Macaca fascicularis: one gene and its partners. The protein of the gene in region 3 interacts with the protein of the main gene of each other region in a pairwise test. Links are inferred from orthologs where the notes say so. Each region holds a gene or a part of one and is shown on either strand. Other genes may lie near its edges.

Region 1 (6,380 bases), on a different chromosome or scaffold from region 3:
CCACATGGCAAAACTCCATCTCTACCACATATACAAAAATTTAGCTGGGCGTCATGGCGGGTGCCTGTAGTTCGAGCTATTTAGTAGGCTGAAGCAGGAGGATTTCTTGAGCCCAGGATGTCAAGGCTGCAGTGAGCCAAGGTCCTGCCACTACACTCTAGCCTGGGCAACAAAGTGAGACTTTATCTCAAAAAACAAAGACAAAAGACTAGCTAAGGTGGGCAGATCTCTTGAGCCAAGGAGTTCCAGACCAGACTGGAAAACATGGCAATATTCCGTCTGTACAAAAAAATTACAAAAGAATTAGCCGGGCTATGGTCGCCTGTGCCACTGGTCCCAGCTACTCAGGAGTCTGAGGCAGGAGAATCACCTGAACCCAGGAAGTCAAGGCTGCAGTGAGCCATGACAGTGCCACTGCATTCCAGCCAGGGCAATGGAATGAGACCCTGTCTCAAAAAACATAAATAAATAAAATTAAATTAAGAAAACTAAAGAGTGACAGCAAAGCCCAGAGCATTATAAGACTCTTCCTCCACAACAGGATTATCAACAAAAGTAGTTACAGAAAAAATTACTTAAGAAATTAATAATTTCCAATGTGACCACTTAAGTTTCATCATAAAGTAAATATTTGAAAAACTTATAAGGTTCTCCAGAACTGAAAATGGAGGGATAGCATCTTTTTTATCCTTTTTAAAGAACATTTTCAGAGAGAATAGTGTGATAAATGCACTATATTTTCGACCCAGATTCAGCAACACTTTTTATTTTTACTTTATGTTTTGATGGTGTCTAGATTTAAGTTACATATATAATGACATTAGCTCTTAATACTTTAGTTTGCATCTCCAAATAATTGAGAACATTGTCTTACATAACGATACCATTATCACAGCAAAAATAGCAATAACTCCATTAATATAACATTTTGACCAAATAAATGAAAAACCAGAAAACACAGATTACATTTCCATGTCATTATAGCCACTAATAAAGATTTTTAAAGAAACTGTGAGAAAAACAAGAGCTATAATCATGCATGCAACTACAATACAACCAAAAATCCACAAAAGATTATGCAAAAAGTACCATCAGCTTGCAAAAAATAACTAAAAATTAGAAATTTAAAATAAATTGTTTTATTCTATGTTAAATCCAAAGCTATTTCGAAAGTTCTCAATTTCCCCCATATTCTTACCAGTGTCATGAACTTGAAAATTGGGGATAATCGGCTTCAGAAATTTGAACTCATTTGTCCCGTAACCTCCTGTCAGACACACCTCGTACTGGTAGCTCTGGGATAGGGTCCCGGTGCCGCTCACGTCCACCAGATGTCCTGGAAAGGGGCCCTTGGGCACCGAGCAGCGACCCACCGAGGCAGCTCTGCTCCTCCTGAACAGCCGCACCGCCACGAACAGGAGCACCGACAAGAGGAACAGCGACGACACTGAGGCCAATGCCACTACCAGGTAGACGGTGAGCGAGTCGGCCTGGGCCTGGGCGGGGACCGCCTCAGGGAGAGGCAGGTAGGGCTGCGAGAAGCCGTCCACCAGTAGCACGTGCAGCGTGGCGGTGGCCGAGCGCGGAGGCTCGCCATTGTCCTTGACCAGCACCACCAGCCTATGCCTGGCCGCCTCACGTTCGCTCAGCAGCCTGGCGGTGCGCACCTCGCCATTGTGCGCCCACACACCGAACAGCCCGGGCTCCGTGGCCTTGAGTAGCTGGTACGACAGCCAGGCGTTCTGGCCCGAGTCGCCGTCCACCGCCACCACCTTGGTCACCAGGTAGCCCGGCTCGGCCGTCCGGGGCACCAGCTCGGTGCAGGGAGCGGAGCCGTTCTGCAGAGGGTACAGCACGAAAGGCGAGTTGTCGTTGGCATCCAGCACCAGCACGCGCACCAGCGCCTCGCTGCTCAGCGCCGGGGAGCCGCGGTCTGTGGCGCCCACGCGGAACTCGAACTCCTGCAAGGCCTCGTAGTCCAGCGAGCGGAGGGCGAACAGGTGGCCGTTGTCTGTGTTGATGGAGACCAGGGAGGAGAGGGGCAGGTGCGGGTCCTGGGACGGCAGCAGCGAGTAGGTGACCAGGGCGTTGGTGCCTGAGTCTCTGTCTGTGGCGCTGACGCTGCCGATGTGCAGGGCGGGGCTGTTGTTCTCGCGGACGAACAGGGTGTAGGAGGTTCTGGTGAAGGCGGGAGCGTTGTCATTGACGTCGGAGACCAGCACGGTTATGTTGTACTCGGTTTTCAGCCTGGGGGTCCCCAAGTCTGTGACGGTGATCGTGATGTTGTACTCTGCTTGGCTCTCTCTGTCCAGTGCTTTTTCAGAAACTAGAGTGAAAAAGTTCTTGAAGGTCGGTTTCAGGAAAAAGGGGAGGTTATCTTGAATAGAGCAAATCATCCTCCCATTGTCTCCAGAGTCTTGGTCTACTACACTAAAAAGAGCTACTAGAGTCTCTGAGGCATTCTCTGGAATTCTCTTTGTAATCGATGATATGGTCACTTCTGGTGGATTGTCGTTTATATCCATAACTTTAACTAGAAGGGTGCATTTTCCTGAAAGACCCCCACCATCTGTTGCCTGAATATTTATAGTGTAGGACTGTATCACTTCAAAATCCAGGGGTGATCTCAAATTAACTTCCCCAGATATTGGATTAATTTCAAATGTTTTACGAATATCTTCTGATGCATGGAAAAATGTGTAAGATATTTTCCCATAGTTTCCTGCATCCAGATCCTTAGCTGAGATGGTGACAATCCAGGAGCCAATGGGTCTATCCTCGGGGACTTGCACCTCATAGAGACTCTGAGGAAACTCAGGGGCATTATCATTGATGTCCAACACCTTAATGAGAACCAAAGTTGTCCCAGACTTGGGCGGGGATCCACCATCCAGTGCTGTGAGTGTTAATCTGAGTTCAGCTTCCTGTTCATAATCTAAAGCTCTATCTAGGACCAGCTCTGGGTATATCTTTCTGTCACTACTGTCTGGAATTTTAATGTGGAAGTGAGAATTGGGGCTAATTGTGTAGTTTTGGAGACTGTTGCTTCCGACATCCAAATCTTGAGCACTCTCCATTAGGAATGTAGTTCCAATAGTGGTACCTTCTGATATTTTAATAAGTATTTCCTTGTCTAGGAATGTAGGGGAGTGATCATTTATGTCTTTGACATGCAGCTCAACCCGAAAAAACTGTAAAGGGTTTTCCAAAACCACCTGAAAATGCAGCACACAGGGCTCGGTGGAGCCACACAGCTCATCTCGGTCTAGTTTCTCATTTAGGAGCAAATCCCCAGTCAGCAAATCAAGGTGCAAATACTTTTTATTATCATCAGACACTACCCGGGCTTCACGTGAAGACAGCTCCTCCACCCCCAGCCCTAGGTCCCTCGCTAGATTAGCCACAAATGAGCCAATTTCTGTTTCCTCTGCCACAGAATAGTGTGCAGATTCAGTATCTGCCCGAGACAATCCCAGCAAAACAAGGAATATTAGAACTTGCCTTTTTCGTAGATCGAGTGACCCTCTGATCTCCATGGTTCCTTTAGGCAACCTCTTGTGGAAAAATTGAAGCTCAGCCCTAATTTTGGAAGCTGAAGCTCTGGTTTTTAATAGGAACCCCCTGGACAGTGTATCCTCCAGCAGCTCTGTAGGCAAAGCTCCTTTAATGCCTGTCTTTTCAGTGGGTTGGATGCTTTCTGTTCTGAATAGCGAAGCTCACTGTGCCAGCCTATGTACAGTTTTCGTCTTATCCTGTAGCGCCACCATGTGTCTCTATGCTTTTCTTTTTTTTCTTTTTCTTTTTTTTTTCATTAAAAAGTTTTCCTCTTTGAAAAAGTAAATCATAAATACATCCGGAACATTCAAAACAAATCCCAGACAACATTTTTTTTTTACCTTTAAATACTTTACTAAGTATTTCTAATAGATAAGGCATTCTAAAAGATAATTGCAACATAACGTTCACAATCAACAACTTGAGCAATAATTCCTCGATGTAATTTATCCTGCATTTGGTTTTCCCCAGTTCTCTCCAAAACGTCCTTTGCTGATGGTTTGTTTGAATTTGAATCCAGAAAATGTCTATACACTGCATTATCACTGTTTTGAATGCTCGACACTAAAGGATCTGTTAAAATATTCTGAACTGAAGAAATAATTTTTTATTTAAGTCATTTCTTGAGTAATTACAAATATATTCTCTCTTTCACTCTTGTAAATACTTGTTGTCAATCATAGTAATGTCATTACTTTTTTCACTTTCATATTTTGAAAATACAAAGAAGGACATGGCACAAATAAGCTAGAGATAATCCTTGCTCTTATGGAGCTCACAAGCTAGAAAAATTGGCAGACAAGTAAATGAAGTATGTCATAATGTATGCATTTGTAAAAAGTAATATAGAAATATCTAGAAAGGGCTTCTTGTACCTATGGGCTGCATACTTTAGTGCTTAGGAATATGGGATCTGGAACCAAATTATCAATATTAGAATCCTGGTTATGTAACTCACTATAAGCTTGGGCAAGTTATAGATATCTTTGTTTCCTCACCTGTAAAATGGGGTAATAATAATATTTGCCTCCCATGATTATTATCATAGGCATCTAGTGAATTAATATTTACCAAGTGGTTTGTAAGTGCTGGTTAAGTGTCTGTCAAAAATAAAATAATTAAGATCTAAATAGGACTTGGGACATCAGTGAAAGCTTTCCTGACGTAATGAATAATACATTGTGATCTGAAGGAACTAGCCAGGAGAAGGAGGAATATTTCAGATGGGCATTTTGAGGAACACAGAGAAGTGAAGTATGCCTTGGACTTTAAAAACTGTGGAAAGGGAGGGTCTAATAATGAAATTAGGGTTGAAAGCAGGGTGAGAATGTGAATCATTATACAGGTCATATCATGCGTTCTTGCATTTATCCTAAATGTAATTCAAGTACAAAGATGGGTTTTAAATGTCTGATTAACATGATCACATCTGCATTTAAAAAATCAGTTTGGCTGAAGTATGGAGAATTAATTTCAGGGGGAATGACTGGAGAATCAAGGAGATCAGATAAGAGATGATGGTAGTCTGGAAGAGGATAATGCCAGTGCGGATACAGAGAAGAGGGATGAGTAGAAAGGTATGAGGAGATGAAATATTTTCAACTGTTGGTTGATAGGTTGCATGGGGAGAAAAAGGGGAAAGACTCAGAGATGATATCACACCTCCGGACTGGGAAACTCGATGACTAGTGGTGTCATTTGCTAGGACAGGGAATGCTAAAAAAACATGATTGGGGTGCAAAAAGATGAAGTGTCAGTTTTGAACATGCTGATATTGAGGTAAGCGCCTGTAGGATGTGTGTTTGTGTGTTTGTGGTGTGTGTGTGTATGTGTGTGTGTGTGTGTGTGTTTGCCTATAACCAAAGCATAGGAAATAAACCTGGGCTGACGATATGAACTTTGGGATTCATCAGTATATATGTGTATATATATATATGGTGATTGAAACCATGAATGCTCTAGGATAACCAAGCAGAAGTGTGTCAAATAAGTATAGAAGAGGCTTGGCACAGAAGTCTGAGAAACATCTTCATTTAGAGGAGACAGGGCAAGAAGCATATCTGAAAAGATAAAGAAGGCTCAGAGTTCAAAACCATGAAATCAAAAGCAAATAGCATTTTAAGGAGACGAGGAAGATCGACAGCTGCAAATGCCTCAGAAAAGTCAAGAAAAATAAGCATGACAATTATCCATTGGACTTAAAAAGATGGTCATTGTGGAGGATTCTGATAGATGTCTGACAAAATCTGTTTTCCCTTGCTTCTATAGTAATAGAACTGTACCCAGGTATGTGGCCATGAAGGTAGATTGTGCATCCCAGCCTCTCCTGTATTTGAGTGTGGCCAAGTGAATTAAGTTCTCACAGATGGATTGTGAGCAGAATTTCTGTCTGCCTCTTCCAGTTATAGAACAAAAGTCATCTGAATGACTCTTTCTTCCAAGCGAGCTAGAACCCAGATGTGGCAGTGACCCAGATGTGGCAGTGACCCAGCTACACCCATGCAGATTGTATTGCCATAGGGAATGTTGAAGAAATTACTTGAAAGAAAATTTCGTTTTGCAAGGACTGTGAGGATCAAAGCTGCCTTACCTACCTAATAATTTTTACATTGGTACTGTCATGTGAAAAAGAGTGACATGTTTACAAGCCACTGTTTCATTGCATCACGTTGGTTCCACAGTATAATCTTACTTAACTTATATGGAAATCTTTGATAACCTTTGCAACAGCAGTTTCAGTAGAATGGTTGTGATGAAAATTAGATTGTACTTTGGTGCAAAGTGAGAGGGATGAGGAAGAAAAAATAAAGTAGACCACTCTTTCG
Region 2 (6,363 bases), on a different chromosome or scaffold from region 3:
CTCTCTCTCTATATATATATGTAATATTTTTAAAATTAAAACTAGTTTATGTGATCTTATAGTCTGCCTTTTTCCCTTTATTGTGAAATTATATTATGACATTCTTTTTTAAATGAACATCAATAAATGCATATCTCCATCTTTTTAAAGGATGCATTCTTAATTTAATTGATTAATAAATTTCTGACTGCTGACTGTTCTAGCATTTCGCTAACATGAACAACGCAGTGACGGGAGTTGTGGAGTGGTACCTCCGTATACATTCACTAAGATAGCATCTTAGAACCGATCCAACCTAAGGCCTTCCATGGTTGAGAACTCCTTAGTTCTGAGTTGCTGGGATTAACCCCTTCCCTACCAGCATATGTTTCTAAGGAGCCCTCCACTGCCTCTTCAGCCTGCAGCAGCAACTCCCTCATGAAGGAAATGCAGGCACAACTACTGGAGTTTGAGAAGTTTGGAGGCTGGGTGCCGTGGTTCACACCTGTAATGCCAGCACTTTGGGAGGCTGATGCAAGCAGATCCTCTGAGGTCAGGAGTTTGAGACCAGCCTGACCAACATGGCATCTCTAACACAGTGAAACCCCGTCTCTACTAAAAATGCAAAAAACTAGCCGGGCGTGGTGGTGGCGCCTGTAGTCCCAGCTACTTGGGAGGCTGAGGCAGGAGAATGGTGTGAACCCGGGAGGCGGAGCTTTGAGTGAGCCAAGATCGCGCCACTGCACTCCAGCCTGGGCGACTGAGCCAGACTCCGTCCCCGCCCCCCCCCCCCGCAAAAAAAAAAATACAAAAATTAGCTGGACGTGGTAGTACACGCCTGTAATCCCAGCGACTTGGGAGGATGAGGCAGGAGAATCACTTGAACCTGGGAGGCAGAGGCTGCAGTGAGCAGAGATCATGCTGGTGCACTCCAGCCTGGGCAACAGAGCAAGACTCCATCTTACACACACACACAAAAAACAACAAAGAGAAGCTTGGAGAAACAAAGAGATGTGGGAGGGCATTAGCACTGAGCAAACAGGTATTGTGCCCTAGGCACTGCAGGGCACTTGTACACACATTGTCTCATTGAATATCCCTTGAAGTTGTCATTCAAAAATCAGACTCAGAGCAGATAGGGAATTTGCCCAAGGCCATGGTGACCTCAAGTCTGGTAATAGTGCCCAACTACAAGTTGAATCAAGATGTTGTATGACATTGGCGTGCACACACACAAAGCAAGTCGCTGTCTTTAGGCTAAAGGGTGAAGGGTTTCTTTTGGGGGCAATGAAAATGTTGATTGTGGTGATGGTTACAAAACTCTGAATATACTAAAGGCCATTTTAGTATATGGACAAATTGAATGCTAGGTGAGTTATCTCAATGAAGCTGCTTGGAAAAAAAGAGAAAAGGTCATCATCCTTGCCAAAAAGACCTCTGAGTTTGAATCCTGACTTTGCTCCTGTCAAGCAATGAGACCTTGGACAAGCTGCTTCTGACTAGGTCTCTGTTTTCTTACATATAACAAGGAGATAATAACAGCTATGTCTCAGTATTGTTGGGAGCTTTAAGTAAGATCATGTAAGCAAGCACCTGACCCCTAGCTGGTAGCCACTATTTCCACCGCAATGCTAAATGCGACCCAAATGTGAAAACACCAGCATGGTCTCCCGCGTAGGGCTCACACTCAAAACAGGACACTCAAATTTTGTGCTGTTTGGAGTCCTGAGATCTGTGGTTTCCAGAGCCCATAATCAGGGGCCCTTTTGAGCGCCATGCTCAACCCCGCTACATTTCTACAAGGTGCTCCCACTCAGGGTTGCAGGACTAGGGTGTGGAAAGTTGTCACTGCAGGGGAGCTGACAGTGTCTGGGATTGCTGGACTGGGCAATCTGACACTATCTGGGATTGCTGGTAGGCCCAGGTGCTGAAGACGGGGCTGGAGACAGAGAGGAAGAAGGAGGGGACCCTGCTTCTGGCGACATTTTCTGTGTGAAGCACAGAAATGCTTATTTGCTCACTGAATGGCTGGCCTGTGCTCATGCTGGGGTTCCTGTCTGCCTCCCCAAGTCAAGCGCAGCTTCTTCTTTTTCCTTCTTATGACTCCCTCCCCAGCATCCCCTGGGCTTTCAACTTCAATGGCATTTCGATTCCACTTTCTCTTCCTTCTCTCCCTTGCCCAAGCCACCTTTCTCTATGCCTGACCTTTATTATCCTCATTCTTCCCATTTTACAGGCACCCTTTGGTCTCGGCCAGTGGTGACTGACTTTGGCTGCTCATTATAATCCCCCAGGGAGCTTTATAACCTAATGATACCCAGGCTGCATGCAAAAACATCTGATTTAATTGGTCCTCACTTCCCTTGGATCACAGCAGCAGCTTTCTGACTAGTCTCCCTAACCCCATCCTCAATATCCACTCCTGCCCTCCCAGTACAGGTAGAGATAAATAAAGCCACACCTTGTGCATCTTCTACACATATTAGCAAAAATCACCTATCACCTTGAATCGCTCTGACAAGCAGATCCAAAACAAGGGCTGTTCATCTTTAAATATGTTGTTTCCAGGCCTTTTCTGCCATATAACTCCTCCTTCAGGGCAGCCTGGCTTGAAATGGGCTCTGTCGATGAAAGGCCCGCTGCTCTCCAGTCAGCCTTTTCCCGCCCCACTCTTAACTTGCCCATTCATCAGCAACCTGGAACAGTTGCCTTTTCTCTCTGCCCACCTGTGTCCCTCTCCTGATTAATGCCACCTTAATCCAGGTTCTTCACCCAGCCTCACATTCCTGTAACCACCTGAAGAGAGAGTTGTAGGCAGGTAGACTTCAGATGTGTCTATCAGATGTGTGGATCCCATTCCATCATTGGACCACAGTCTCCACTGGCGCAGGAGACATGCATCTGATTTCCTGTACAGCCCCCCTGGAGGCAGAGGTCAGCGTTGGGGAATATTATAAATGCTATTTTCCAACTTGCCAAATAGCACCCACACTGAAATAAAGCAATTAAGGGAATGAACACTTACCTTGAATCTTCAAATCAAATGTTTTTTCCAACACATTTTTTCCTTTTGTATCGTATATTGATACCTTGTAGCTATCCTGATCATGGATCTTCAGATGCTTAATTTTCAGAGTTCCGTTTTTAAATAGCTTATATGCATCTTTTTCCTCGAAAGTCTCCTTCTCTTTTCTGAATTGTGCAATCTTTTTCTTGTCTGAAGTTTTTTCCCATTTTATATCATCAATATCATCACTCATTTGAAAACTAGGAATGTCCAAGTCGATGTCCTGACCCAGCGCTCCCCAGGTTTCAAAAGCATTCCTAATCTCTTTGGAGACTGCACCTAGAAAAAGCAAAAGAGTTACTGAGAGTCACCTCCAGGGAAAGTTGGGTTGGGACTTCTTTGGCTCTTATGCTTACTTCAGGGTCTCCGAAGAAGAAGCTTCTAACCGTGACAGTGGAGACCCATCCACCAACTTACCTTTGGAAGAAACGTTGAAAATTAGAAGGAAGCTGGTTACAATTTTACATGGAAGGCTCATCTTAGGAGTTAGTTTCCTCTTTTGATTCTGAGCTCTTCATGCAAAAGGAACTGAAGTGAGACTGGTGGAGTCCACACCCCGAGAACTTAACCACGTGCCTCTCTTTACATCTTTTACAGTAACATAAAACACAGCACACATACACAGAGAGCGAGAGCGCGCACAAGCCAGCCCTTCTGATGTGCTCCTTTACCAAAGCAGATGTGTTTATGAGTGTGTGTTTTCTTACCGCATTTTAATCCTCACAAAAAATTGGGATGGATGGATTTTCTCATCTCAGTGAAAGAGAAAAGGAACATAGAGGCTAAGTAGATGAATAAGGATCAGTCTTTTGTAAACAAGAAGCCAAATTCAACCTCCCAGCCTTTTATCCACTTAGGTATACTGTCCCTAACAAGACCACAGAGAAATATAGGTAAATGTTCACAAGCCAAGCCATTAGCAGAATGCAAATATTTATCCTATATGATTATAAATATTGAAAAGTATGCCCATAAAATGATTAGGAAATTGATTTTTTTGTTTCTCCAAAGATATTTTTCATGTTCTAAAATCGTTTTTGTGATGAAAAGAAAGAAATTAAGTATCAGCTGTAAATGCTTGCAATCCCCAAATCCTATGTTCGGGGTACATTTTACAACCCTAGTGAAATTCACAGTTAGGTAAATAGAAACTTGTTCCAAAACAAAGAAGCATGGAGACTATGAAATACAATTAAACCACCAAAACAAAGGAGTCAAAAGCATTTAAAGTGATTAACATTATAGGTGGTTAAGAAAAAGGAGAGATTAGGAGAAAAAGAAATGAGGGAGAGAAAAAGAGAACAGAAATTTGTGACACAAGGAAAGAGACAATGATGCAGAGATGCATGTGCCCTGAAAAGATGCCTAAAAAGAGGAATAACCATGACAGACTTCCAAAGCACATTTTCAGCGTTACAATTCTTTAGGTCACAGTGAGTAAAAACTGTAAAAGAGGTGCTTGTTTTCTTTTTCAACTCTAAGTACAAATATGGATATTATCTGTCAGAAAGTTGCCAAGGAAATGAAATTAAGTCAAAGCAGTTGTTTGCTATTACTGGGTAAAAGGAAGCCCAAATATTTACCTCATGGTTGTATGAGCATCTTCCACAATAATGCACAACAGTTGAATTAAAATTTTAAATGCAAAAATACTACAATAATGCTAAAAGGAGGCCGGGCGTGGCGGCTCACAGCTATAATCCCAGCACTCTGGGAGGCCGAGGCGGACCTCCTCACCTTAGGTCAGGAGTTCAAGACCAACCTGGCCAACGTGGTGAAACCCCATCTCTACTAAAACTACAAAAATTAGCCAGGCATGGTGACGTGTGCCTGTAATTCCAGCTACTCAGGAGGCTGAGGCAGGCGAAGTGCTTGAACCTGGGAAGCAGAGGTTGCAATGAGCCAGGATGGTGTCACTGCACTCCAGCCTGGGCGGCAGAGTGAGACTCTGTCTCAAAAAAAATAAAATAAAATAAAATAATTAATTAATTAAAATGCTAAAAGGACAATACAGAAAGATATTCTTATAGCTTGAGTATGGAAGGCCTATCTACATATAACACATAATCCAAAGTAAGAAGGAAAGGATGAACACAATTGATGATGTAAAGAAGTAAGATTTATGTGCAGATGAAGAAATAAGGAACAAAATGAAAAGGCATGACAAAATACTTGCGATATGTATAAAATTATTAATATTCAAAACATAGAAATAATTCTTATCAATCAATACAAAATAGTTTTTAAAATGGGCAAAGGATATAAATGATCAGCTTACAGAAGAAGTAGTTCACAGAAGAAATATCAAACCCGCAAGAGGAGTCCAATGTCACCAGAATTATATGCATATATCTTAGCTATAAAATACCATTTTTCACCATCAGATTGGCAAAATTAGGAAAAATGATAATTTACATTATTAACATGAATGTGTGGAGAAATGAACCTTCATACAACATCAGAGGGAATATAAATCAACACCTTCTGGGGAAAGGAATTTCATTTCCACCAAACTTTAAAATTTGTCTTTTTTTCACCGAGTGATTTTAACTTCAGACATCTATCCCACACATATGAAAGCACGGATGTTTTAAAATGCTGTTCAAGGACGTTTGTTGTATCATTTTTGTAATAAAAAATTGCAAACCAGTAAAATTATAGTATATTCATATTATGAAATATTGCATAAGCATCAAAATAGTATAACATAGGCCTAAAAGTAAGACATGGAAAGATGCTTTTGGAAAATCACATGAAAAGAGTAAATTGCAAAACAATATCTATAGGATTAGTCCTTTTTATATATGATACTGTGTTTATACTATGCTACGGGTATACCAGTATACTGTATCATACTCTGTTGTTCTTAAGGTATGTGTGAGAAAAAAGCCTGAAAGGGCTGATGGTGAATTTTTTTACAGTGCTTGTCTTTCAGGTATTAGACTGCGAGAGAACCGAAATGAAATCTTCACTTCTTACCTTTGTAAACCAAAAAAATACTTGAGATAGGTCTCAATCAATTTAGAAGTTTATTTCATCAACATTAAGGACAAAAAGGAACACAGAACCACAGGAACAATCTGTGGTTTGTGCCTTTTTCTCAACATGGTTTTGAAGGCTTCAGTATTTAAAGGGGAAAAGCCGGTCAGAGGGGAAGGAGGGAGGACACGGTCACATTACTGAATCCATATGTTGCAAGAGAAAAGAAGCAGGTAGGGGAATGGTCAATTGTGTATTCTTCTCATGCTCAGTAAATTGGCACTTTCATAAGATAAGGTGAACATAGAGTAGCTACCCCTGGAGACAGCAGCTTTTTG
Region 3 (4,454 bases):
ACTTCAGGGGGTGCCCCCAGCATCTGCCTCTTCTGTTTTATTTTCCTTTATTCAGTAAACCTTCACAACCCCAGCTCAGTCCAGGCCTAAGCCTGGCACGGGGCAGGGATAAAGTAGCCCAGCGCTATCCCAGAACTCCTGTGCACAGGGTGGCTGAGCTGGCCTGATCACTGCGGGCCCACAGGGAGGAGGGCTGGCTCGGCCCAGGCAGTGGAGGCCTCAGCAGGGCACGTGAGCCAGGCTTTGTGTGGCAGTGCACCCCCACCCCTACTGGCCGGGGAAGCTGCTAGGGCAAGCTAGAGCAGGGGTCTGGAGGGTAAGGACTGGGTGTCTTCCCACGAGGCCTCAGCATGGAGGTCCTAGAACCCCCAAAAGGGCCATGGGAGTCTTCCCATGAAGCTGCAGCTTTGGGGGTTCTAGGATCCCCCCAAAGGGCCCTGCAGGGAGCAGGTGCTGCAGAGGGCGCCAGTGGAGGGCACAGCTGGGGAAGGAGGAGCCACCGGGACCACCTTCTGGGGGCCCTCCTGCCTGAGGGGCACCTCATAAATCACATCCATGCCAGGAGGCTAGGGGCAGCCCCAGCCCTGGCAGAGCGTGTGCAGCTCTGAGACTTCTCCGTGTCTAAACCCTCCTCCCGGTGGCACCCTGAGTGTGGAGCGGGGGCACTCACCCTCTTTCCTCCCCATCCCCAGGTTCTCTGGACTGCTGCACGGAAGTCCCAAGACCACTTCGTTGGCAGCTTCTGCTGGTAAAGGGGGTCAGGAGGGGACTCCCGAACACACTGATCCAGGGGGGAAGGAAAGGTCTCCCACGTGGCACAGATGGGGCCACTGAGGCCCCTCAAGGGGAAAGGTGTGTCCCCCAAAAGCAAGTATGGAGAGCGGAAGGAAGAGGCAGGGCCCAGCATGGAGAAACCCTGTTCTAGCAGAACCTCCAGGGGCCAGTGTCCCCAGAAAGGGGAGGGGTCCATGCCTCACCCTGCTCTCAGCCTCCACAGAGACCCTGACCCCCACCCCTGAGCGGAATGAGGGTGTCTACGCAGCCATCGCAGTGCAGGAGATGCAGGGAAACCCAGCCTCACCAGCCCAGGAGTACCGGGCGCTCTACGACTATACAGCGCAGGTGAGGCCCCCACACCCTAAACCCACCTGTGCCACCTCCCCTGCACCTGAGCGCTCCCTCCCCCATTCAGTGCCTCGCATCCTCATCTCTCCTGGTGGTTTCACTCATCTTCGAGCATCCTCTCCTGCTCAGGAGGGCACATGTGCCCGAGAGTTATGTCCACACTAGCAAGGGCACCTGGGAGTGTGCTCGGGCATGAGCTCTGAGAACAGCACCCAGGGCCTGGGGGGCCTCAGCGTGCATGTACTGACTGGAAGCTGGTGTGCAGCAGGCCTGTGTCTGCCGGGGCCTGTACACAGCACACATGTGGGGCACATGGGCCTGTGCCGTCCACACAGGCTGGGCGCTGCGTGGTACACACGTGCGGGGAGCTGGCAGAGCCTGGGGTTGCCTGCAGGTCATAGCTTGAGGGCCAGGCTCTGCGCCTTTGGGTCAGGGCCCTGTCCTCTGTGGCCATGGGTGTGGAAAACTGTGGCCAGAATCAGTCTTGCAATCGTGCCAGGATTGATTTTCTGATGTGCATAGGGTGAGGATGTACCAAGGCAGCCACAGGGCAGCTATGAGAGAAGGTCCACTCTGCTCCCTGCTTGAGGGAAGGGGTGCATACCCAGGCCTCACATCCACTGGACTAAGGCTAAGCACCCCCCATGGCCAGGCAGGCTGGGTGTGGGCTCCACTGACAAGGCCAGGGCTCGGGGAGGTAGGGAAGCCAGGTCAGGAGAGTGACGGGGTACTTGGATGGCAGTTGCTACCTGGGGCTGGGGACCACAAAGGGGAGGCTGTTAGGTAAGCTTGGGCGTGTGTCCTGGGCTTGGGGTGTGATGCATACCCCTGGCCCCTGACATGCTCCAGTCACTGTGTCTCCAGAGTGGGAGAGGGGAGGTACGGGTGGGGAAGAAACCCAGGTTGGGGGAGGCCTATGATGACAAACTGGGGTGGATGGGAAGCCAGGTCCCTTGGGTTACCCCCATCCTGTGTCTCCAAGGGGCTGCCCCAGCAGGCAGGGACACAGCTCGGCATGCCGCATTTACTGCTGGGTGGGGGAACACCAGGCCACACCCCTCCCCGCAGGCCCTTCTAGCGTCATGTGCTTTCAATCTCTTGGCCAGAACCCGGATGAGCTGGACCTCTCCGCGGGAGACATCCTGGAGGTGATCCTGGAAGGGGAGGATGGCTGGTGGACCGTGGAGAGGAATGGGCAGCGTGGCTTCGTCCCTGGTTCCTACCTGGAGAAGCTTTGAAGAAGGGCCAGGAGCCCCCTCGGACCTGCCCTGCCAGTGGAGCCAGCAGTGCTCCCAGCACTGACCATGCCTTGCTGGGGCCCAGAACCAAGCGTCCCCAGCCCTGAGAGACATCCTGTCTCCCAGAGAATAAAGGAGTGCGTTCTGTTCTCCTTGGTGTGCTGGGGTCTTTCTCTCCTTCTCCTGCTCCAGGGTCTGAGTGCTCAGTTCAGAGGAGGTAAAGGAACAAGGGAAGGAGCCTGGACGGCGGAGCTCCCCAACTCAGCCAAGGCTTCCGCTATAGTTGGAGGAGAAGAGGCTTGGCCCCAGTTACTAGGAGCTCCCAGACCGCCAGGGAGACACATTCACACCTGGACAGAGGATACAGGGTTGCAGGAGGATGTGGCAGGGGCAAGAAGGGGTTCAGCAGGGCTGCAATGGGGAGAGCAGGCGTCTTGGGGACAGAGAGTTGAGCAGGTCCACAGCCGGGCAGCAAAGGCCAGAGCAGAGCAAGTGCGTGGGCAAAGGTGAGGTTGGGGGTACATCCAGGAATATTCTGAGGACTCAGTCTGGAAACAGGAAGCTAGTGATGGATCTGTTGGAGAGGCCATGGTGGAAGCCGAGGAAGGCAGGCTTGTGGCTTATGGGTGCCAAGTGGGGCCTGGGGAAGCCACTGTTGTCCGTGACACTCCTGTCAACATGGCAACCCTGGCAGAGCAGGGCTCCAGAGCCCAGGCAGAGAGGGCCACAGGGGGGCCTTCAGTCCTTTTCTCTTTTTGGTCCCAGGAACATAACTTCCACCACTAGCCAAGCCCTGCTCCAACCATGATAGGCTTCATCCATGCCAAAGACATTTGGGAGTGGGTGTGGGGGAGAGGGCCCCTGGCCCTCAGTCTTGGGGGTGGCCAAGTCGGCCCACCCCACACCCGCCTGGGATCCCCACCCCGCCTCGGAGGCAGGCAGGTGCAGGACTGTAAGGGGTGGGAGGGGGGACACAGTGGTCCTCCTCTGCTGGGACCATGCTGACGAGCTGCTGCAGGGCACTGCTGTTACCCGCGGACTGTCTTTATCTGGATTGCGAACTGCTCGGCCTCTCCTCATCCATACCCTTTGAGGACTGCTCTCTACGGACACAGCTCTGTGCCAGGCCTAGGGAGGGCCGGATTTGCCCTCAAATCAGAGGAGCAAAGCCTCAGTCTGCTCCATGCAAGGAACTCTTGACCCAGTAAGGGGACCACACGGCCCAGAAAGTTTAAGAACTTTACAGGAAATGTCCCAGTGCACAGAGATGTCACCAAGGTTTCTGGGAAGAGGTGGCCCTGAACACGCAAAGGAGATAGGGGGACTCCTTTCTGCTCCTTCCTGCCTCTGGTAGCTCCACCATGACAGGGAGGGGGACGGAGGGGGAGAGAGGGAGAGAGGGAGAGAGGGAGAGAGGGAGAGAGGGAGAGAGGGAGAGAGAGGGAGAGAGAGAGAGAGGGGGAGAGAGAGAGAGAGGGGGAGAGAGAGAGAGAGGGGGAGAGAGAGAGAGAGGGGGAGAGAGAGAGAGAGAGGAGAGAGAGAGAGAGAGAGAGAGAGAGAGAGAGAGAGAGAGAGAGAGAGAGAGAGAGAGAATTCCCCTGGAATTCCCCAGGACTGAGGACTAGATGAGACTCTCTTGGCACCTCCTGCACGATGCCTGCCCCGCCACCTCTGGGGAATGGGCATCCCAGTGGGCTTTAACATCTCTAGTGACAGGGAGCTCATCACTGTCATGAGGCTTCCCCACCAGTCCTGGCTCTGCCAGGCTGGCAGCCAGCTGGCATACAGAGGCTCTCCCACATGCCCAGGCTGTCAAATGCCACCATGGCAGAAATGAGGCTTTTCACCAAGCTCTGCTCTAAGAAGAGGGCAAGAAGGGGCTCGCAGAAGGGGACTGCTCTGGTGTTTCACACGAATGCCCATCTTTATACCCTGATCTTTACTTGAGCAAAAAATTGGATTCAGTTAAGCAAGCATGAGACATGAAGGCGGGGGAGGGAAAGCGCCCTTGGGTTGCCACCTCAGGTGCGTGGGCACCTCTCAAGTCTGCAGTGCAGTGAGAGGGCTGTTCTCCCACCAAAGTGTTATTCG
Region 4 (4,526 bases), on a different chromosome or scaffold from region 3:
GGCTAAAATTTTTTTCAGTTATGCTTTTATTTCAGTTTACATTGTATTAGGAAAAGATCTATTACAGGAGTGCCTGTGTCTTGAGAATGTCAAGCATCCACTGTATTACCACTTCCTTATTACCAAAGCATACAGAATATTTTCAAATTCTAACGGATTGGCCAGGCGTGGTGGCTCACACCTGTAATCCCAGCACTTTTGGAGGCTGAGGCGGGTACACCTGAGGTCAGGAGTTCAAAATCAGCCTGGCCAACATAGCAAAACACCATCTCTACTAAAAATACAAAAATAATTAGCTGGGCTTGGTGGTGGGCACCTGGAAGCCCGGCTACTAAGGAGGCTGAGGCAGGAGAATTGCTTGAACCCAGGAGGCAGAGGTTGTAGTGAGCCAAGATCACACCATCGTACTCCAGCGTGGGCAACAAGAGCAAAGTTCCGTCTCAAAAAAAAAAAGAAATCTAAGGGATCAACATGAAGATGAGTTAGCTTTAAAACAAATTTAACAAGAAATTGTAGTATTACTTTCTCCTCCACAATAATCCCCCTTCTACTCATATAAGGTTTTCCATGTACTTTAGTTTCATAATTTCTTCATTCTTTCATATGCAGAGGGAAAATACAGACATCCAACAACTCCAATCTACAGTTGTCAAAATTCAGACTTAGTACTGAGGAATGGAATCTGTGCTCCAGTCTTGGGATAAGAAACCAGTTTTCGTTCCCAACATCCCCTTGGTTTGGTTTTCTTTTTCTTTTCTTTTTTTTTTTTGAGATGTAGTCTTGCTCTGTTGCCCAGACCAGAGTGCCGTGGTGCAATCTTGGCTCACTGCAACCTCCATCTCCTAGGTTCAAGCAATTCTCCTGCCTCAGCCTCTTTAGTAGCTGGGATTCCAGATATGTGCCACCACACCCAGCTAATTTTTTTGTAATTTTAGTAGAGAAGGGGTTTCACCATGTTGGCCAAGCTGGTCTTGAACTCCTGACCTCAAGTGATCTGCCCTCCTTGGCCTCCCAAAGAGCTGGAATAACAGGCGTGAGCCACCCCATCTGGCCCCCTCTGTTGGGCTTTCTACTAGGACTTTGGTAGGCTAGTAATGATAAGGATGAGGAATGCCTAGGGGCAATAAGTATTTAGAATTGGCACAGCCATGTTTTTGGCAGAAGGTACTCGCTATTCCCTAATTAAGAGATTAGGCCTGGCATGGTGACTCATGCCTGTAATCCCAGCACTTTGGGAGGCCAAGGTGGGCGGATCACCTGAGTTCAGGAGTTTGAGACCAGCCTGGCCAACACAGTGAAACCATCTCTACTGAAAATATAAAAATTAGCTGGGCGTGGTGGCGGGTGCCTGTAATCCCAGCTACTTGGGAGGCTGAGGCAGGAGAATCACTTGAACCTGGGAAGTGGAGGTTGCAGTGAGCCGAGATGGCACCACTGTACTCCAGCCTGGGTGACAGAGTGATACTGTCTAAAAAAAGAAAAAAAAAAGAGATTAAACCCCATTCACATTCATTTCCTACCAAGACTGAGCCAGCAAGAAGGCTGATAGTTAAGTCCAATTTCCTAGGAATGAAAAATGAAAAGCCAAGGCAACAAGTAGGCGCTGTAAAATTGTTTGTTTTTTTAATGGCAGGTCAAATATCCTGAAACATACATGTATTTTGATAGTCTTCTAATCCCAGTTGAGTTCAAATATTAAAGAAACACACACAAGCTAAGAGAATTCAATATTGTTCCAAGGCACTTACTGAATCTCTGACTAGATGAAAACAAGAACAATTAGGATGAACAATTAGACTGTATATAATATAAAAATAACTTTGCTTACAATTTACAAAATGTATTATTATTACAATCTTTGATCTCTGATAACCTGCAAAGCTGGCTGCATGAATCCAGCAAGTTTAAAATTCAGAAACTATTTTCTAAAACTCCAGGGCAAATAATTTACAAATAAAGTACACAAAGATTTAGACCATGCAGAAATTTCTTACATCTTCTGTTAATAATATTTCGATTGCAACTTTATCAAATTATATACCTACTTGCCCTGTACATATACAAAATAATGCATACATGATAAAACAGAAAAAGAGTAGTCCTTAAACTCAATATATCATAAAAGTATTACTATATTAACATGTCTACAAGCAGCGTGTAACAGGGTTAAGAGACGTTAAGGCAATAATACTTGAAGTTTCAAAATAAACCATATGTAATACTTTTTCCTAAGTATAGTATAAGGCAGGTAGATGGTCCCAGCAAAAAATATTAAAGTAACAATCTACACTGCTGTTAGTCCCACATATTAAAGATGGAATACTATAAATCTGGCTTTCAGTGGCACCTGAATTTTCCAGTATAACTTAAAAGTGTCTTTTAGCTCCCTGAATCATGTCCATTCTGAAGGTGGATCTCTGGGTCCTTTGGGTTTTCCACATCGATTACCAAAACCTACAGTGAAAATACCACAGTAACTAGTCAGTGTTCAGAAATACTTTTAAACTACTAAAAACCATGTCCACAGACATTCTGATTTTCTGGAACAAATAAATTTCCACAAGGGAATTTAGAATTTAAGCCAAACAAAACTCTGTAAATGCAAAACGATTGTAAATTTATCTGGGGTAACTGAAAATGATTGCTTCTTTTAAAAATCTTATGCTGAAAATAAACCAATTTTATCACAATGTAAGAAAAACATCCAAGATAATTTAGTCTGTCCAACACAAAAGATTTTTTTAATATACTGCAGTTTTCTATTTTAGTTTTTAATCTCAATGTGAAATAGAATTAAGTGCTTCATTTATTTCATGACTAGTTCAAGCAACTTTGGAAAATCATATACTTTATTCTTGGCAAGTGTCACTTCACAATGGCAAATGAGCTTTTCTCATTCTTGCCAGTGTTAACTACTTACTAAAAATTATTTATTAAAGAAATTACCAATATCTGTGGCTTCTGTTGGACTTTCTGATGTTTGTTCTCTCTTGTCACTGAAAGTAGGTGGACATTCTGTACACATCTCGTAGTGAATACCTCCCGCTGGATGATCTAAATAGCAACACAAAACCTTTGTTAATCACCATGCTTTGTAGCATCGTATATATACAACTCTTTAATTTTTTAAATGTTGGCAAGCATGAAAAGAGAAAATTTTCTCTCCTGGGCACCATAATTTTATAGGTCAAGATCAGTATAAATACAAACGTAGTGAGCACAGAAAATCATGTCAGGTATTATTGTGGTCACACAGAAATCTGCAGTGAGTACTTCTGCAACGTGAGGATTCTCATTATTTTTATTTCCTAAATCTAGGTCTTGACATATTACATTCCCTTAAGGTAGCTATACTATATGCCTATGTTCTAAGGGAATAATTGCAACTGAAATGCCTTTGTATGGAAATCAACAAGGTCAGTCCAGGAGCGGTGGCTCACACCTGTAATCCCAGCACTTTGGGAGGTTGAGGCGGGTGGATCACGAGGTCAGGAGATTGAGACCATCCTGACTAACACGGTGAAACCCCATCCCTACTAAAAAAATACAAAAAAGTTAGCTGGGCATGGTGGCGAGCGACTGTAGTCCCAGCTATTCGGGAGGCCAAGGCAGAAGAATGGCGTGAACCCAGGAGGCAGAGCTTGCAGTGACCCAAGATCGTGCCATTGCATTCCAGCCGAGGCGACAGAGCGAGACTCCATCTCAAAAAAAAAAAAAAAAAAAAAAGAAATCAACAAGGTCAAGGTTAATTAATGAAATATTTCCACCTGAAATAACAACGCAACTTTTTTTTTAGACAGAGTTTCCCTCTTGTTGCCCAGGTTGGAGTACAATGGCGCAATCTCAGCTCACTGCAACCTCCGCCTCCTGGGTTCAAGGGATTCTCCTGCCTCAATCTCCCTAGTAACTGGGATTACAGGCGGCAGCCATGATGCCCAGCTACTTTTTTATTTTAAGTAGAGATGGGGTTTAACCATGTTGCTCAAGGCTGGTTTCAAACTCCTGACCTCAGGTCATCGCCCGCCTTGGCCTCCCAAAGTGCTGGGATTATAGGTGTGAGCCACGACGCCAGATCTAACTACTTTTAAAGTTTTATGTTGTTTAGATTGTAGTTCACTCTTTAATTACCAATGTTCAACATTAGTAACAAAAGAAATTAACTACTATAATTCATTCATTCTTTCACAGTCTTGAACATACCCCATACCTCCATGAGGAACCTTTCTGGAAACTTGGAATACAAGTAAAATAACAGACAATCCCCATCCTCAAGATGCTTACAGTCTGGAAAGGAGCCCACAGACTTTTTTTTTTTTTTTTTTTGAGATGGAGTCTTGCTCTTGTCACCCAGGCTAGAGTGCAATGGCACAATCTCAGCTCAGTGCAACCTCCACCTCCCGGTTCAAGTGATTTTCCTGCCTCAGCCTCCCAAGCAGCTGGGATTACAGGTGCTCGCCACATTTTTGTATTTTTAGTAGAGTTGCGGTTTTGTCATGTTGGCTAGGCTGGTCTTGAACTCCTGATCT

What was found.
Region 1: the proteins of PSTPIP1 (region 3) and PCDHB14 interact in binary tests that used the Homo sapiens proteins (3 or more experiments, as listed by UniProt). The two-hybrid records come from large-scale screens. The link is inferred for Macaca fascicularis from reciprocal best matches to the Homo sapiens genes PSTPIP1 and PCDHB14.
Region 2: the proteins of PSTPIP1 (region 3) and CD2 interact in a two-hybrid assay, tested with the Homo sapiens proteins (2 studies listed by BioGRID and IntAct). The link is inferred for Macaca fascicularis from reciprocal best matches to the Homo sapiens genes PSTPIP1 and CD2.
Region 4: the proteins of PSTPIP1 (region 3) and PTPN12 interact in binary tests that used the Homo sapiens proteins (3 or more experiments, as listed by UniProt). The link is inferred for Macaca fascicularis from reciprocal best matches to the Homo sapiens genes PSTPIP1 and PTPN12.

Annotation. Positions count from the first base shown.
Region 1 is NC_088380.1:147,690,942-147,697,321, reverse strand, and holds PCDHB14 (protocadherin beta-14), read right to left. Parts: upstream 3,705-6,380; 5' UTR 3,537-3,704; coding exon 1,140-3,536; 3' UTR 738-1,139; downstream 1-737. UniProt on the Homo sapiens protein: Potential calcium-dependent cell-adhesion protein. May be involved in the establishment and maintenance of specific neuronal connections in the brain.
Region 2 is NC_088375.1:117,642,942-117,649,304, forward strand, and holds the start of CD2 (T-cell surface antigen CD2), read right to left. Parts: upstream 3,588-6,363; 5' UTR 3,525-3,587; coding exon 3,464-3,524; intron 3,326-3,463; coding exon 3,005-3,325; intron 1-3,004. UniProt on the Homo sapiens protein: CD2 interacts with lymphocyte function-associated antigen CD58 (LFA-3) and CD48/BCM1 to mediate adhesion between T-cells and other cell types. CD2 is implicated in the triggering of T-cells, the cytoplasmic domain is implicated in the signaling function.
Region 3 is NC_088381.1:54,335,694-54,340,147, forward strand, and holds the end of PSTPIP1 (proline-serine-threonine phosphatase-interacting protein 1), read left to right. Parts: intron 1-692; coding exon 693-748; intron 749-988; coding exon 989-1,122; intron 1,123-2,231; coding exon 2,232-2,363; 3' UTR 2,364-2,513; downstream 2,514-4,454. UniProt on the Homo sapiens protein: Involved in regulation of the actin cytoskeleton. May regulate WAS actin-bundling activity. Bridges the interaction between ABL1 and PTPN18 leading to ABL1 dephosphorylation.
Region 4 is NC_088377.1:143,833,202-143,837,727, forward strand, and holds the end of PTPN12 (tyrosine-protein phosphatase non-receptor type 12), read right to left. Parts: intron 3,055-4,526; coding exon 2,947-3,054; intron 2,455-2,946; coding exon 2,393-2,454; 3' UTR 1,600-2,392; downstream 1-1,599. UniProt on the Homo sapiens protein: Dephosphorylates a range of proteins, and thereby regulates cellular signaling cascades. Dephosphorylates cellular tyrosine kinases, such as ERBB2 and PTK2B/PYK2, and thereby regulates signaling via ERBB2 and PTK2B/PYK2.